Linked DNA regions of Nothobranchius furzeri. The protein of the gene in region 1 purifies or fractionates together with the protein of each later gene. This does not show direct contact. Links are inferred from orthologs where the notes say so. Each region holds a gene or a part of one and is shown in the gene's direction. Other genes may lie near its edges.

Region 1 (4,218 bases):
GGTGGGCCAATCGTAGTGCTCTATCTGCTTAGCAGGGGTGGACTGGGACCAAAATTCGGCCCTGGCATTTTTACGAATCGTCGGCCCTCCCCATTGGGAGAGCGTTGGGGGTGGGGGATGTTGCCGCCCGTGGACTCGTCTCTAGGCCGAATGAGAGTTCTAATATGAACTGGGACTGTTAAATTACAAGCATGGGCAGACCGCTGCGACTGGGAGCCCTGGCCTTCTAGATCAGCTCATTCCCCATGGGCGGAGATCAGCGGGACATTAGCTACATGCTAAAGCGGTAAAACAACTTATACGTCATCGCTCTAACGCGTTTTTCTAGCTAAAAATGACTGGAAAAACTCTGGTAGCTTCAGGTTTTCATATAGCTAATGTTCTGCAGATCACCAACTGTGAAGTGGTGTCGGCCCAAGCAGGGTAAGCAGCCCACTTGGCTAAGTGGCCCACCGGGACAGTGCCAGAATGCTAGATAGGCCAGTCCACCCCTGCTGCTTAGTGAACAAATCACAGAGCTTTATCCGCTTTGTGGGCCAATCAGGGCACTCTATATGCCTGGTGGGTGGGATGATGCAACAGAGAGAAACAAGAGTATGTCACATTCTTTGTCCAGTAGCATGCGGCGATCATTTGAAAGACAACGGTAGAACCCACCCCACAACCGAGAGCCGTCAATGGAGCGTTGCCAGACTAAATAATACATTTATTTAGTCTGGCTTGCCAGGCTAAGTGAAATGTTCAATTTGACTAGAAACCATCCATCCATTTTCAGTCGCTTACCCGAAGTCGGGTCCCAGGGGCAGCAGCCTAAGCCGGGACGCCTAGACTTCCCTCTCCCCAGCTACTTGAGCCAGCAATTCCGGAGGAATACCCAGGCGTTCCCTGCCAGCCGAGAGACATAGTCCCTCCAGCGTGTCCTGGGTCTTCCCTTGGGTCTCCTCCCAGTTGAACGTGCCCGGAAAACCTCACTTGGGAGGCGTCCAGGAGGCATCCTGACCAGATGCCCAAGCCACCTCAGCTGGCTTCTCTCAACATGGAGGAGCAGCGGGTCTACTCCTAGCCCCTCCCGGATGACCGAGCTTCTCATTCTATCTCTAAGCCACCCTGAGGAGAAAAATCAAAGCAATTTGGCTAATTGCTATATGGCAAAATGGCTTGCCATATAGCAGTATTCAATCAGCTTCCTACCTCTAGCTGAAGCCTATAATTCCCATAATTCATTGTTTGAGAGCGCTTCTCATCTCTGCGCTCCTGTAGGGATGCTTTTTTAATCAGAAAAGCCGCATCCTCCTGCCCTTCATCCGGGTCCTCTAACTCCTATTAGTGAACGTGCGCTCCTCCTCGCGCTCCTCTACGTAGTGTCTCTCTTCCAGCCAATAGCGTCGCACCGTTCCTGATTCCGACCACTTATCTTCCAGCTCACAGGGTCACGAGCGCCTTCTCTGCCTGCTTACCCGAGAGACTGAGCACCGTCCTTGCACACAGTTAGGCCGGAAAAGGTAACCTTTACCGTTGTTTTTCTCCTTTCCTCCTGTTTTTCTTCGATTAACAAACATTTTAAAGCTTCGTGTGGTTATTGTTAAGCCGAGTGTGCTAATAAAATCACTTTACTGCTTTTTAAAATTACTACACGATGGGTTTCCTCTTAAACGAAATCCTCCGCGGTTTGTCCTTGTCGGTGCTAGCTAACTGTCGAATATTTTGGTAGCTCGATCACGTTTGATTCCTTCATCTTGCTGTTGTATTCAGCAGGATGGAGCGATTTCTTTAACTCGTCGTCTATTTTTAAACAACGCCGTCAGCTGGCGAGATATCTCTCCATTTAGAGCTGAAGTGTGTGAGGGGGAATGGGGTGTCCGGTTGCAAGGCCACCTTGCAGCAGACCGTATTCTTCATTTTGACGAGGAGCCATTATTTGTGACCCTCTTGTTTCGAATAGGAATTTCAAAGCCACTCGTTTTTTTGACCACCGGTTGCTTGCAGCATACACGGAGGTGTGTCCACCGTGTCAGGGAAAATTACTGAGGGGGAACAAGCCTGCACGGGCGTCTGGGTTTCCTTCATTCTCCCAAGCTAATGAGTCCTGTGAGGATTCTTGCATCTTTATTAGGACAATCAGAGAAAACGCTGTAAGTCCAGTAGAGGAGTTATTTTATGCTTTAAAACTAACTAAATAATCCACATCTAACCCAGTATGAAGTAATGATGTCTCGAATTAACTGATTTACCAGCTGTAAAATAATTGTTCTGGATTATTCACGCATTTCTGTCTTGCATTGAGTAATGATCAGAAAATGCACATTTATTTCAAGACGGGTTGTCTGTGGCTGAATGGATAACATGTTGCTAAAGGGGGGACATTTACAGGAGTGGTTCACAAATAATCCAAATAGTCAAGGGTTTTGCATGTTCGTAGTAGTTAACCTGCTACAAAATTTGGTCTGCATATGTTTGTATTTTAAATATTTTAATGAAAAATAAAGTCCCACACACTTAATAATAAAACAGCCAAACTCTGGGATAATGGTTTATCTAAAACTGATCTTATTCGTGAACCATTTCACAAAGTGATCCTGAAGATTTGTGCTAACGTTACGGCACATTTGGGGACTAAGATTTGGTCGTTTAAATTTTAAAGCTTTGAGTTTTGATACCCAGTCTTAAAAAAACACTTCCTCTGTGAATTTGTCTGTGGCACATTTCCACACAAACTTTTAAGGATTGCCTTTTCCATTAGTTTTAATTAAGCTGCACTCACGCTTGACTTTGCAGAATATGAATTTAGGGCGAGTTGAGTAGAACAAACACAATAATCAATATAAAACTGCAGGCGTCATGGCCCAGACAGTCTGGCATTACACTGTTTGACTTCCACTGCAGAAATGGAGGTGACAAAAGCTCTGAGATTAAGCCTGCAGTCTGTATCAGAGCGAAGCTTGTTACAAAAAAGGCCAAACATTGCACTGGTGCCAAATCACGTTCCTATTTTGCACATTTACGCTTAAATATTGATATTGTTGCATAATTCTTGACTTTACTGGGGCAAACATTTTGCAAACTATTTCACAATCGGAAGTGGTTTGTGAACTCAGTTGACCTGCAGAGAATTTTCTAGTGCTGCAGAAGCCACACCCCGCCCCGACTGAAGCAACAATCATTCTGTTCGGATCACATCAGTCTGATAGTGTGCAGGTCTCATTTATTTTAGTCTTCAAGAAGATTTACAGCTGATCAATATTTCCCCAGACTCCTTTTTCACATTGAGTTTTATTGTAGGTGTGCTGCAGAGCATTTATATTTTTTGCCAAGTCACTGTTCACTGGACCATTAAGTATGCGAGTGCCCCTGTAGGGAGGCCTGAATGGTTGCAGTATCGGTAATGAACTTTTGCTCTCGTTTTTGCAGGAGATCTGTAACAATGTCCATCCTGAAGATTCACGCTCGTGAGATCTTTGACTCTCGTGGAAACCCCACCGTAGAGGTCGATCTGTACACCAAGAAAGGTTTGTAAGAGCTCTTATGATTTTCTGTACAACCTTCAGGTGCTGAATGACTTCCTCCTTAGACATGGGTAGTTTAGTTGTTCATTTTTTGAATCATTTAATCAGAATTGGTGATTTTTCCATTAAACCTGAATATTTTATGAAGTTTTAGGCTTATCTTTCTTTTCATAGTTTACTTGATCAATCTGGGGAAAAATACAAACTTCCTAGTTGTTCTGCAAGTTTGAATTTTCAGTGCAATCAGAATGTCTTACTTTGCTAATTCATAATTTGTTATTCCCCCTGAAACATACAAAAGTGGATATTTAGGTCAGGTTTGTGCTTGGTTACTGCTGCTGGCCCAGAGTGGATGGCATTCATGAATGTGTGAAAATAGCTGCTGTAACTTGACATGACCTCCACAGCTCACAGCTACTGTAATGGTTCCTGTTTGGGAGCACACAGCTCATACAGTACACATCAGTAGCAAACCACATCAGCTGATTATTAAAATTCAAATGACTAGAAACCTCCTCTTCTGAAGTGATGTAAAATTAGCTTCTCTGGATTATGTGACTACGCTGCCTAGAAGTCATCTGTACTCTTTTGTACGAGTCCTCTAAGGTCTGGATCAATTCATTTCATAATGACCCATGGTTTTATTTATTTGTTTTGTTAAACTAAACAAAGGGTTTGCTCGACTTGCTTGACACATCCTGAGAATGTTAATGAA
Region 2 (4,241 bases), on another chromosome or scaffold:
GCCTTTAACACATACAATGCTCACAAATCACCTCATCTTTCCTACCTAATATTACACTTCTGGCTGCATAAAGCACAAAACAAAATTAATGCCTCATTAGTTTTACACCTTCTGCATCATTCACACTTGATTTTCAAACTTTTCCTGGAGCAAATTGTTGAAAGAGAGCAAAGGTGTGCAATGAAAAAGTCTCCTCTTAGTGTTACATGTATTGATAGTTTTTAAAAGTTACTGGTGAGAATAAGCTGAAAAGTGCAAAGCAAACAAACTTCTTTTTCAGTGACTGTTACACTCGAGTTATGTTTTCAGTCACTTACAGTGGCTTGAACCTTTAGATGATTAAACCCTGTGCAAACACTTCCATTCATCAGTGGTTACTGTTTCCTTTCCTGTGACTCATCCTCAAGTCACTTTTGAAACTGGATCCCAGTCTAATCATGCGTTTGATGATAACACACTGAACAGAATTAGTAATTGTACGTAAGTGAATTAATGTATGGAAATTTTCTCGAGTGTGTTCGCGGGTCTGGTGCAGTTGATCCCCAGCTGCATATGTTGGTAATCACAGCTGCTTCTTGAATTCACTCACAGGCACGCAGCGAACAACCTGCTGGCAGCAACTCCTCCGCTTTTGTCTAATCCGTCATTTCACTGGGCTCTGAGTTGGTTAGAAGAATATGACAATGAATCTCTGCAGCAGAATACACATAGGCAAATTAACAAGGATGTGTGCCTGCACACTAAAGCCCTTAGACATCAAGTCTGGGATTTACATTGGAATGCGGATCTCTAAGTCTCTCAAGAGACTGGAACAGAAGTTTTCGCACAGACTTGGAAAAAATAAAAACTTTTTGCTCCTTTAGAGCTATTTTACAACATGGATTAGTCTGCTCAGCTGGTACTGTAAAACACAGTGAGCTGGAGACAAAACTAATGACTCAATTGAAAGCTTTTCTTTTAAGATTTTGCCAACAGTTAAAGTCCAAGTTGCAAATAAGTAAGAGACATGAATATTTCTAAAGCTCCAACAACAAAAATTTCAAATATTTAATATTTACTATATGTACCCTGGCACCCTCTGCTGGACAAAATATGGTATGGTATCATCTATTATTATTATTATTATTATTGTTATTTTTGTCATTATTATTATTATTATTATTATTATTATTATTATTATTATTATTATTATTATTATAAGGGAATCAGTCCAATCTTTAAATTGAAAATATGAATTTGTGTTTTCCATTCAGAGGTCAGAATGTTACACAAATAGTGGACTGTAAGTAAAATTTGTACAAGAATTGTGTTTACATTTATTTCAGAGTATAAACACCTTTGATGATTTAGTTGACATGTTTTTGTGCATGTGGAGCTTTGCCTTTTTGGAAGGGGGATAAATTGACGGATCTGGCAACCTATTCCTCCCGTTGAAAGTCTGCATTGGTCTGTACGTCTGCTGCCGCAGTTTTTAGCGTTTTAGTTCCTGCAGAAGTATAACTGTAAGCTAACTATGGCAGGGAAGAAGGCGTTGGTAATCCTGTCTAAAGGTGCAGAGGAGATGGAAACTGTTATTCCTGTGGATATAATGCGCAGAGCCGGGGTTTGTACTTGTTAACTTGTTGTATGCTAACAGTTAGCATGCTATGGTAAACAAAAGTAGCATGCTGCGGTTCATAGCTAACCCATAGAACTGACCTTACAGCAGACACCGGACCGTATGCTACAATTATGTTTAAACATAGTGGTTTATTAAACATTGATTGTGACGGTAAAGAAAATAATTAATTTGAGATAATGAGTGCTAACACTTGGTCAAGCAATAAGCAGTTTTGTCCTGCAACTATTGTTCTCCTTAACCTCAAAAGTTGAATCCCCTTTTGAGCTTGTAGTTTGTAAATTCTAGACGAACCCCCAACCTTTAGCGACTCCAGGCAGAAGCCAAGTTTAAATGTCAAAGTCCAACCTCTTTTTACCTTTCAAAATAAAAGCCTTCGTTGACCATGACGCAGGATGCCATGTAGTCCTGTTACTCTGGAGTTGTGATAACATTTTCATATTTGTAGATTACAGTCACAGTTGCAGGTCTGACGGGGAAAGAGCCAGTCCAGTGCAGCAGAAACATTGTCATCTGTCCTGATACAAGTTTGGAGGAAGCCAGCAAACAGGTAGAGCATTAAGACAAGCAGTCACATGTTAGGGAAACATCTCATGAGATGTATTTGTTGTGGGACGATGATGTGTATCAGAGCAGTTCCTGTTAATTTTGACGTTGATTCTACCAATTTCTGGATCATGGATCTAAAATTATAAGAATAAAGGAAATACATCAAAGAGTTACTTGAATTATATTTAGTTCTAAATGTTCAAATCTTTGTCAAAGATAACTTAGATTTTTTTAAAGACAGGTAATACTCATTTTGTTTGTGTCCAAGGGCCCATATGATGTGGTTGTCTTGCCAGGAGGAATGCCAGGTGCTCAGAATCTGGCAGAGGTGAGAAAATACTTACTTTTGACATTTTCATTGGCCCTTGTGCTCAGTGAGCAGCCACATGGCTCTAGAATTATTTTCATCAGATATGGTTTGCATTTGAAATCGATAGAATAGAAATAAAAACAAGTTTTTAACAACTTTTACTGTAAAGTATTTCCTTATGCTGAGTCGCATTTCTTTTGCTGAGTAGCTTGCAGATCATAATTGTCAAATATTGCATTTTTCTGCTGTAGCCCTTTCTAAAATTGTGATCAGAACATCCATAGCTGAAACATTTGATTTGCAGAAAGCTCTGCATAGCGGATACTTTTAAACACACTGCCTCTTTGTGTTATTACAGAATGGCCAGTGAATATGTATGGAGGGCCACATGGCCGCTAAGTGACTCTGTGTGCATCTGTTTTTCCTTTCTCCCAGTCGCCTGCTGTGAAGGAGGTGCTGAAGGATCAAGACAGCAGAAACGGCCTGATTGCAGCCATCTGTGCAGGTACAGCTTGTGAAAACAATCCAGCCATAATTATACACATTATCTAATAGATTTCCCTCTCTATGGGTTAAATATGGTGTGACCTTAATCTTGACAAGCATGTCTGGGACTAAAGAGATTCAGATTAATTAATTAATGACCACACAACAAGTTGGTGGAATTTGTTTCCTGTGCAGCACGACATGCTCACAACTCTGTGTCTACACCTGACGTAACTAAAAATAAACAGACAGGGACATACAAAAGCTTTAGGCAGTTACTTTATTTGGTGACCGTATAGCTGTTGGGGATAAAACTGTATTTGAATATATGTGATTTTGACTGTAAACACCTGTAGCGTCTTCTAGAAGGCAATAGTGTGAACAGATGATGTGCAGGGTGAGAGGGGTCCGAGGGGATGTTTCCTGCCCTCTGTGTGATGCGTCATGGTACAGCGTGTCAGTGGAAGGTAGGGTATGGCCTATAATTTTAGATGATTTGACTGTTATGTGTTGTTGTTTTTTACGTGAGTTGGAGTCCATATTACCATACGAGACTACTATGGGTGAGGTGAGTATAGTCTGAATGATGGCAGTGTAGAACTGTACAAGGACGTGGTGCATTTGTACATGGTTTGTAAAGGTTGATTGTGCAGTCACTGAGCAAGAAGCATCTGACTACGAATGGGATGGGCAGCCATCCTCTCACGCCTAGTGAATGACACTTTAGGGTGGCCAGTTAATGAATTTTGAAGTGCACAGAGATGGACTTTCTGATTTAAAGCTGCAAAGGCAAATCTGCAAAACAAGCTAGCTTTTAAACACAAAAATGGTCACAGAACACTCACCTCTCCCATCGGCTACTATCCCCTGGCCACGCCCACCTGATATAGGAATCCACGTGCCAGGGGACACGAGAGAGCGCAAAGCACCAGTTACCGTTTTCCAGGTCCAAACGTCTTTTGTTGACTTCAAATGGTGTTTTTCTTTTTGGGACTCTGGTAGATTGTCCTAAAGTTGAAGTGGTAGCAGCCGGCTGTTTCTCCTTCTCTGATATTACTGAGCACCTCTCACACCAGTGACTGGAGGACCCAGGTAAATGCAGAAATGCGGTGGCCCAGTGAGACAAACTACTGGCATCATATACGTATGTAGACGCCTCATAGACTGGCGCTCCCCATAGGAGCTGACGTATTAGCGCAGCTGCCATCTTGGATAGGTTCCTATTTGCCCCCAGTGCATTTATTTCTACTGAGAAAGGTGTTCACCCAACTACAGTAG
Region 3 (4,286 bases), on another chromosome or scaffold:
ACAAGTAGGAAACTCGTTGTGCGCTTGAGTGACTGGTAATAAATAAAAGCCGAAAATGCAAGGCCCCGGGATGTGAATAAGAGTAACTGCATTGTGATTGGCTACTGGGATAGCCTGAGGAAAGTGGGAGGGGCTTGTTTGTGCCCTACAGTAACACGGGTAAAGGTGAGGCAATCTGTTTTTCACTAGCCTGGCAAGCCAGACTTTGCAAAGCAAGAAATTGGTCTAGTTCTCAAGGCTAGTTTTTCACCGGATTTTAACGAAAAAGATCCATTTGAAAAATAAAATATCTTAAAGCTATGATGATGTTGAGAATTTTTAATTTTTTTTAATTTATTGAGATAAACTGAGAGACATTTAATAGACAGACTAACAAGCTTATACTGCGCAAGTATGCACATGTGCACCACATTATTTGGAGACAGAAACTGTTTTGTTAAGTCGTTATCTACAATACCAGTCAGGTAGGTTGCTTCTCACAATTAAAGGGGCTTCTCATTATGAGAAACCTGCTAGATAAATATTAAAGAGCAAATTATCCTGAACCTGAAACGGCTCCGCAACCATACTAATAAAAGGGACACATACATTCTTGTTACGGTTTGACAAAATACAGTTAGAGTAGCTGATAGTAAAGTACATTATAAAAAGTAAATTAATACAACATTTAATACAAAAAGTTACTTTCAAACGTGTTTTATATGTGTTTTACAAGTATAATATTTGAGATTAACCGCAATGCATGTTGGGTATGTAAAATGTAAATACAAGTTCCGTGATCTGTCCAACCAGATCATCTGTTCTTCAGTTGTCATTAAAGGTAGGCGGGGCTAGGTGGGTCACTAGTCATGACCAATCCAAAAGCGCATTACTGTGTCATTCAAAGTGAAAGCGTTAAATAAATGCTCAAATGGAAACACTTTTGCACATGATTCAAATACATTTGTTTTACTTTCGTACGTAAAATAAAATAATTACATATCCAACTTAAACATATTTATACAAATTATGTGATGTGTTCAGTAGTTGAGAAACAGTTCTTTCAGGTGTAGAATACTCTTTTTCGTTGTGCTTTTAACAGTTTAGTTTGTAATTCGTAATGTAGTACTTTTATCTCAGCTATCAAATCACAAAATAATGTGGAAATGTTATCACAGATAGTATCTGAAGATGTAAACACGTTTTAGGTGATATCACAATACATTCAGTTCATCAAGTTATGATTTTTATGCATAAGTGAGCTAAATTTTTGCTATTTAGTTTTTTCGAACTGTTTTTAGTTATTTAAACAACTACGTATCTTTTTCATTCAATTAAAACATGTATTTTTTGTGGTTTATCTTTGTGTAAATAACTTTTCAAACAGCACTTGAACGCAGCATGACATTTCGCTCTTCCTCTTCCCCTGCTGCGGTGATGCGTTCATCGGCGTTCCGTGATACGCCAATGGTGTGTCGGTATACTGACAAAGAGGCGGTGTTAAATTCCCTCCGTATAAATAGGTAAAGCAGCCATCAAACGCTTGCTCTCTGCCCCGAAAGAGAAGGTCCCCGTCGTGGTACTGTCCAGTTTAATTCTCTAGTAAATCCTAACAAAAACCCGCAAACATGAGCAGGAAATTCTTTGTCGGTGGAAACTGGAAGATGAATGGAGACAAGAAAAGCCTCGGGGAGCTCATCGAGACCCTGAACGGAGGAAAGGTGGACGCTAATGTCGGTATGTGTGGATTTTAACAACCGAGTTAAAACTTTCGTTGAATCTTTCAGCCTAACCCCGTTGTGTTCGTCAATTTTTTCTCTTTCAAAACGATTTTTGATATATTTTCAAAATGGCTCGTTCAGTCATGAAACAAGGACACCTTTAGCATCACAAATCTCCTCCTCAATGATTTTAAAAGCCCTTAAAAAGAAACAGTCGTTATATTGTCGTGTTGAATCGAGTTTAATTAACCTAAAATAGACAGAAAAGTATGAAGGGGTACAGGTGAAGGGCGAGCAGAGAAGCTTTTCGGTGATGTCGGAGGTGGGTGTGCGTTTGCAGCTGCACGTAGTCACGCTAGCTCCCGGGATGCATTCAAGATCAAGCACTGGTCACTGATGCTTCCCAAAGCCTGCTGGCTAAATATACAGAACAAAGCTAGTAAAAGATCAGAGGTTTTAATTAAAACAGAAATACAATTTATATACGTTTAAAATCAATGTGCATGTTTACCTTTTGCTCATGCGTGAATGTCTGAGTCTGTGTTTTTTTATTTTTCCCTATCGTTACCTGAACGCATCGTCTGCACTATCTGCTTCTGCAAACCAGAAAAAACAGCAGCAGCTGTTTCCCCCCTTCACTGCAGGGTCCGCAGACTTTGTGTCAAAACCAAACCTGTTGCGATTCAGCATTATTATGCAACCCTAACGTTGTATCTACCTGCTCCACGCTTGTCCAGGAGCAACTGCTCATACTGTCCTTGGACCTTGCCCCCTAAATGAGTCCACCTCCCTTGCAGTGCCAGACAGGCTTTGCCTTGTTGTTCTAATGTCCATCATGTTGGTCATTTGACCTTTTGAACCCAGGTTTAAGCCATGTCTCGTCCTCTGCAGAATGCAAGCCTTTAGTTGACCTTTTTAGAAACTGAACTCAGACCTTTACTGCTGTTGACTCTGGCTCGGGACAAATGACCTTTACCAAACTGAATTTAGCTCCTCGTAACCCCAAAGATACAGTTACAATGTGAATGTCAGTGTCTGGACTTCACTGTACTTGTGTCAAAGTCTTGTATTCACACAGGGGGACCATGTTTAAGGATTATTTGAATGTGTTTTGTTCTAAAACAAAAATCGTAGATTATTTCAATATTTATAGGAATTAGTCCTAAAGCTAATAAAAAGCCTTTATTGTTGACTATGTAACCTTCTACATAAATAGAGGTGGTGTGTGGCGCTCCATCCATCTACCTGGACTTCACCAGGTCCAAGCTGGATGCCAAGTTTGGTGTGGCAGCTCAGAACTGCTACAAGGTTCCCAAGGGTGCCTTCACTGGGGAGATCAGGTAGTGCCGTAGAAACCTGTCCAGCCTTTTTCTGTGGATCTAGCGGTTTGCGGTGAGTCTTATCCGTTCTCTGCCTCCAGCCCTGCGATGATCAAGGACTGTGGTGTGAACTGGGTGATCCTGGGACACTCTGAGAGGCGCCACGTCTTTGGAGAGAGCGATGAGGTAAGATTTAACAGTTTAAATCTCACAGAGGATTAAACGGCGTGTTTATTGAATGTCCTCCTGTGCAACGTTAGCTTATTGGTCAGAAGACGGCTCACGCTCTGGAGAACGGTCTCGGCGTGATCGCCTGCATCGGTGAGAAGCTGGATGAGAGGGAAGGAGGCATCACGGAGAAGGTGGTGTTTGCTCAGACCAAAGTCATTGCAGGTATGCAGCTTCTTTTATATAAACTCGTGTGCACGGGAGGAAAAAGCCCAAATGGAGCAATACGTTTTCCCTTAATCTGGAGAAGTTGCTAAATCTGTGGTCTTATCTGTTTGGCAGACAATGTAAAGGACTGGAGCAAGGTGGTGCTTGCTTATGAGCCCGTGTGGGCCATTGGTACAGGCAAGACCGCCTCCCCGCAACAGGTAGACGTGGGAGAACAACTAAATACTCCTGCTTGAGGACCACCAGGGCGGCAGTGTTTAACAAGTTTCCTGTGTGATTTCTCAGGCCCAGGAAGTTCATGAGAAGCTGAGGGCGTGGCTGAAGACCAACGTCTCTGAGGCTGTAGCTAACTCTGTCAGGATCATTTACGGAGGTGAGTAAACGGACAAACGTCCCGCATTCTTCCTGCGTTAATGCCGTCTCATTAACCGCCGCTGCCCCTCAGGCTCTGTCACTGGTGCCACCTGTAAGGAACTCGCCTCCCAGAAGGACGTTGATGGTTTCCTTGTGGGCGGAGCTTCCCTCAAGCCTGAGTTTATTGAGATCATCAACGCCAAGGCGTAAAATCCCAGCAGCGTCACTTCCATTCAGATGATCTGGTCCCCTCGCCCCTTAACCTCCAGTACTTCTTCCTTGTCTTTATTAAAAGTATTTGTGTAATGTTGTCATTCCTCCTTTTTTCTTTAGTTTTAATATTTAAAAAAAAAAGGGACAGGCTGACACGTTCACCATTCTGCACTGATGATTCTACTGAGAACGGCCGAACGAACTCCCACACCAAGTGCTCGAGCTAAAGGCTGACACCTAGAGGTGGACCGACTGTCCACGCCTTCACTTGAAACGTTTACAACCTTTATTTGTGCGAACAGGG

What was found. The genes of interacting proteins can lie anywhere in the genome.
Region 2: the proteins of eno1a (region 1) and park7 fractionate together in Homo sapiens (co-fractionation; 3 studies listed by BioGRID). This does not show direct contact. The link is inferred for Nothobranchius furzeri from reciprocal best matches to the Homo sapiens genes ENO1 and PARK7.
Region 3: the proteins of eno1a (region 1) and tpi1b fractionate together in Homo sapiens (co-fractionation; 4 studies listed by BioGRID, with this or other methods). This does not show direct contact. The link is inferred for Nothobranchius furzeri from reciprocal best matches to the Homo sapiens genes ENO1 and TPI1.

Annotation. Positions count from the first base shown.
Region 1 is NC_091755.1:28,667,079-28,671,296, forward strand, and holds the start of eno1a (enolase 1a, (alpha)), read left to right. Parts: upstream 1-1,364; 5' UTR 1,365-1,502; intron 1,503-3,408; 5' UTR 3,409-3,421; coding exon 3,422-3,506; intron 3,507-4,218. UniProt on the Homo sapiens protein: Glycolytic enzyme the catalyzes the conversion of 2-phosphoglycerate to phosphoenolpyruvate. In addition to glycolysis, involved in various processes such as growth control, hypoxia tolerance and allergic responses.
Region 2 is NC_091743.1:63,725,480-63,729,720, reverse strand, and holds the start of park7 (Parkinson disease protein 7 homolog), read left to right. Parts: upstream 1-1,402; 5' UTR 1,403-1,513; coding exon 1,514-1,603; intron 1,604-2,066; coding exon 2,067-2,168; intron 2,169-2,435; coding exon 2,436-2,495; intron 2,496-2,912; coding exon 2,913-2,982; intron 2,983-4,241. UniProt on the Homo sapiens protein: Multifunctional protein with controversial molecular function which plays an important role in cell protection against oxidative stress and cell death acting as oxidative stress sensor and redox-sensitive chaperone and protease.
Region 3 is NC_091745.1:74,103,052-74,107,337, reverse strand, and holds the start of tpi1b (triosephosphate isomerase B), read left to right. Parts: upstream 1-1,447; 5' UTR 1,448-1,607; coding exon 1,608-1,716; intron 1,717-2,916; coding exon 2,917-3,040; intron 3,041-3,120; coding exon 3,121-3,205; intron 3,206-3,279; coding exon 3,280-3,412; intron 3,413-3,529; coding exon 3,530-3,615; intron 3,616-3,700; coding exon 3,701-3,788; intron 3,789-3,860; coding exon 3,861-3,979; 3' UTR 3,980-4,286. UniProt on the Homo sapiens protein: Triosephosphate isomerase is an extremely efficient metabolic enzyme that catalyzes the interconversion between dihydroxyacetone phosphate (DHAP) and D-glyceraldehyde-3-phosphate (G3P) in glycolysis and gluconeogenesis.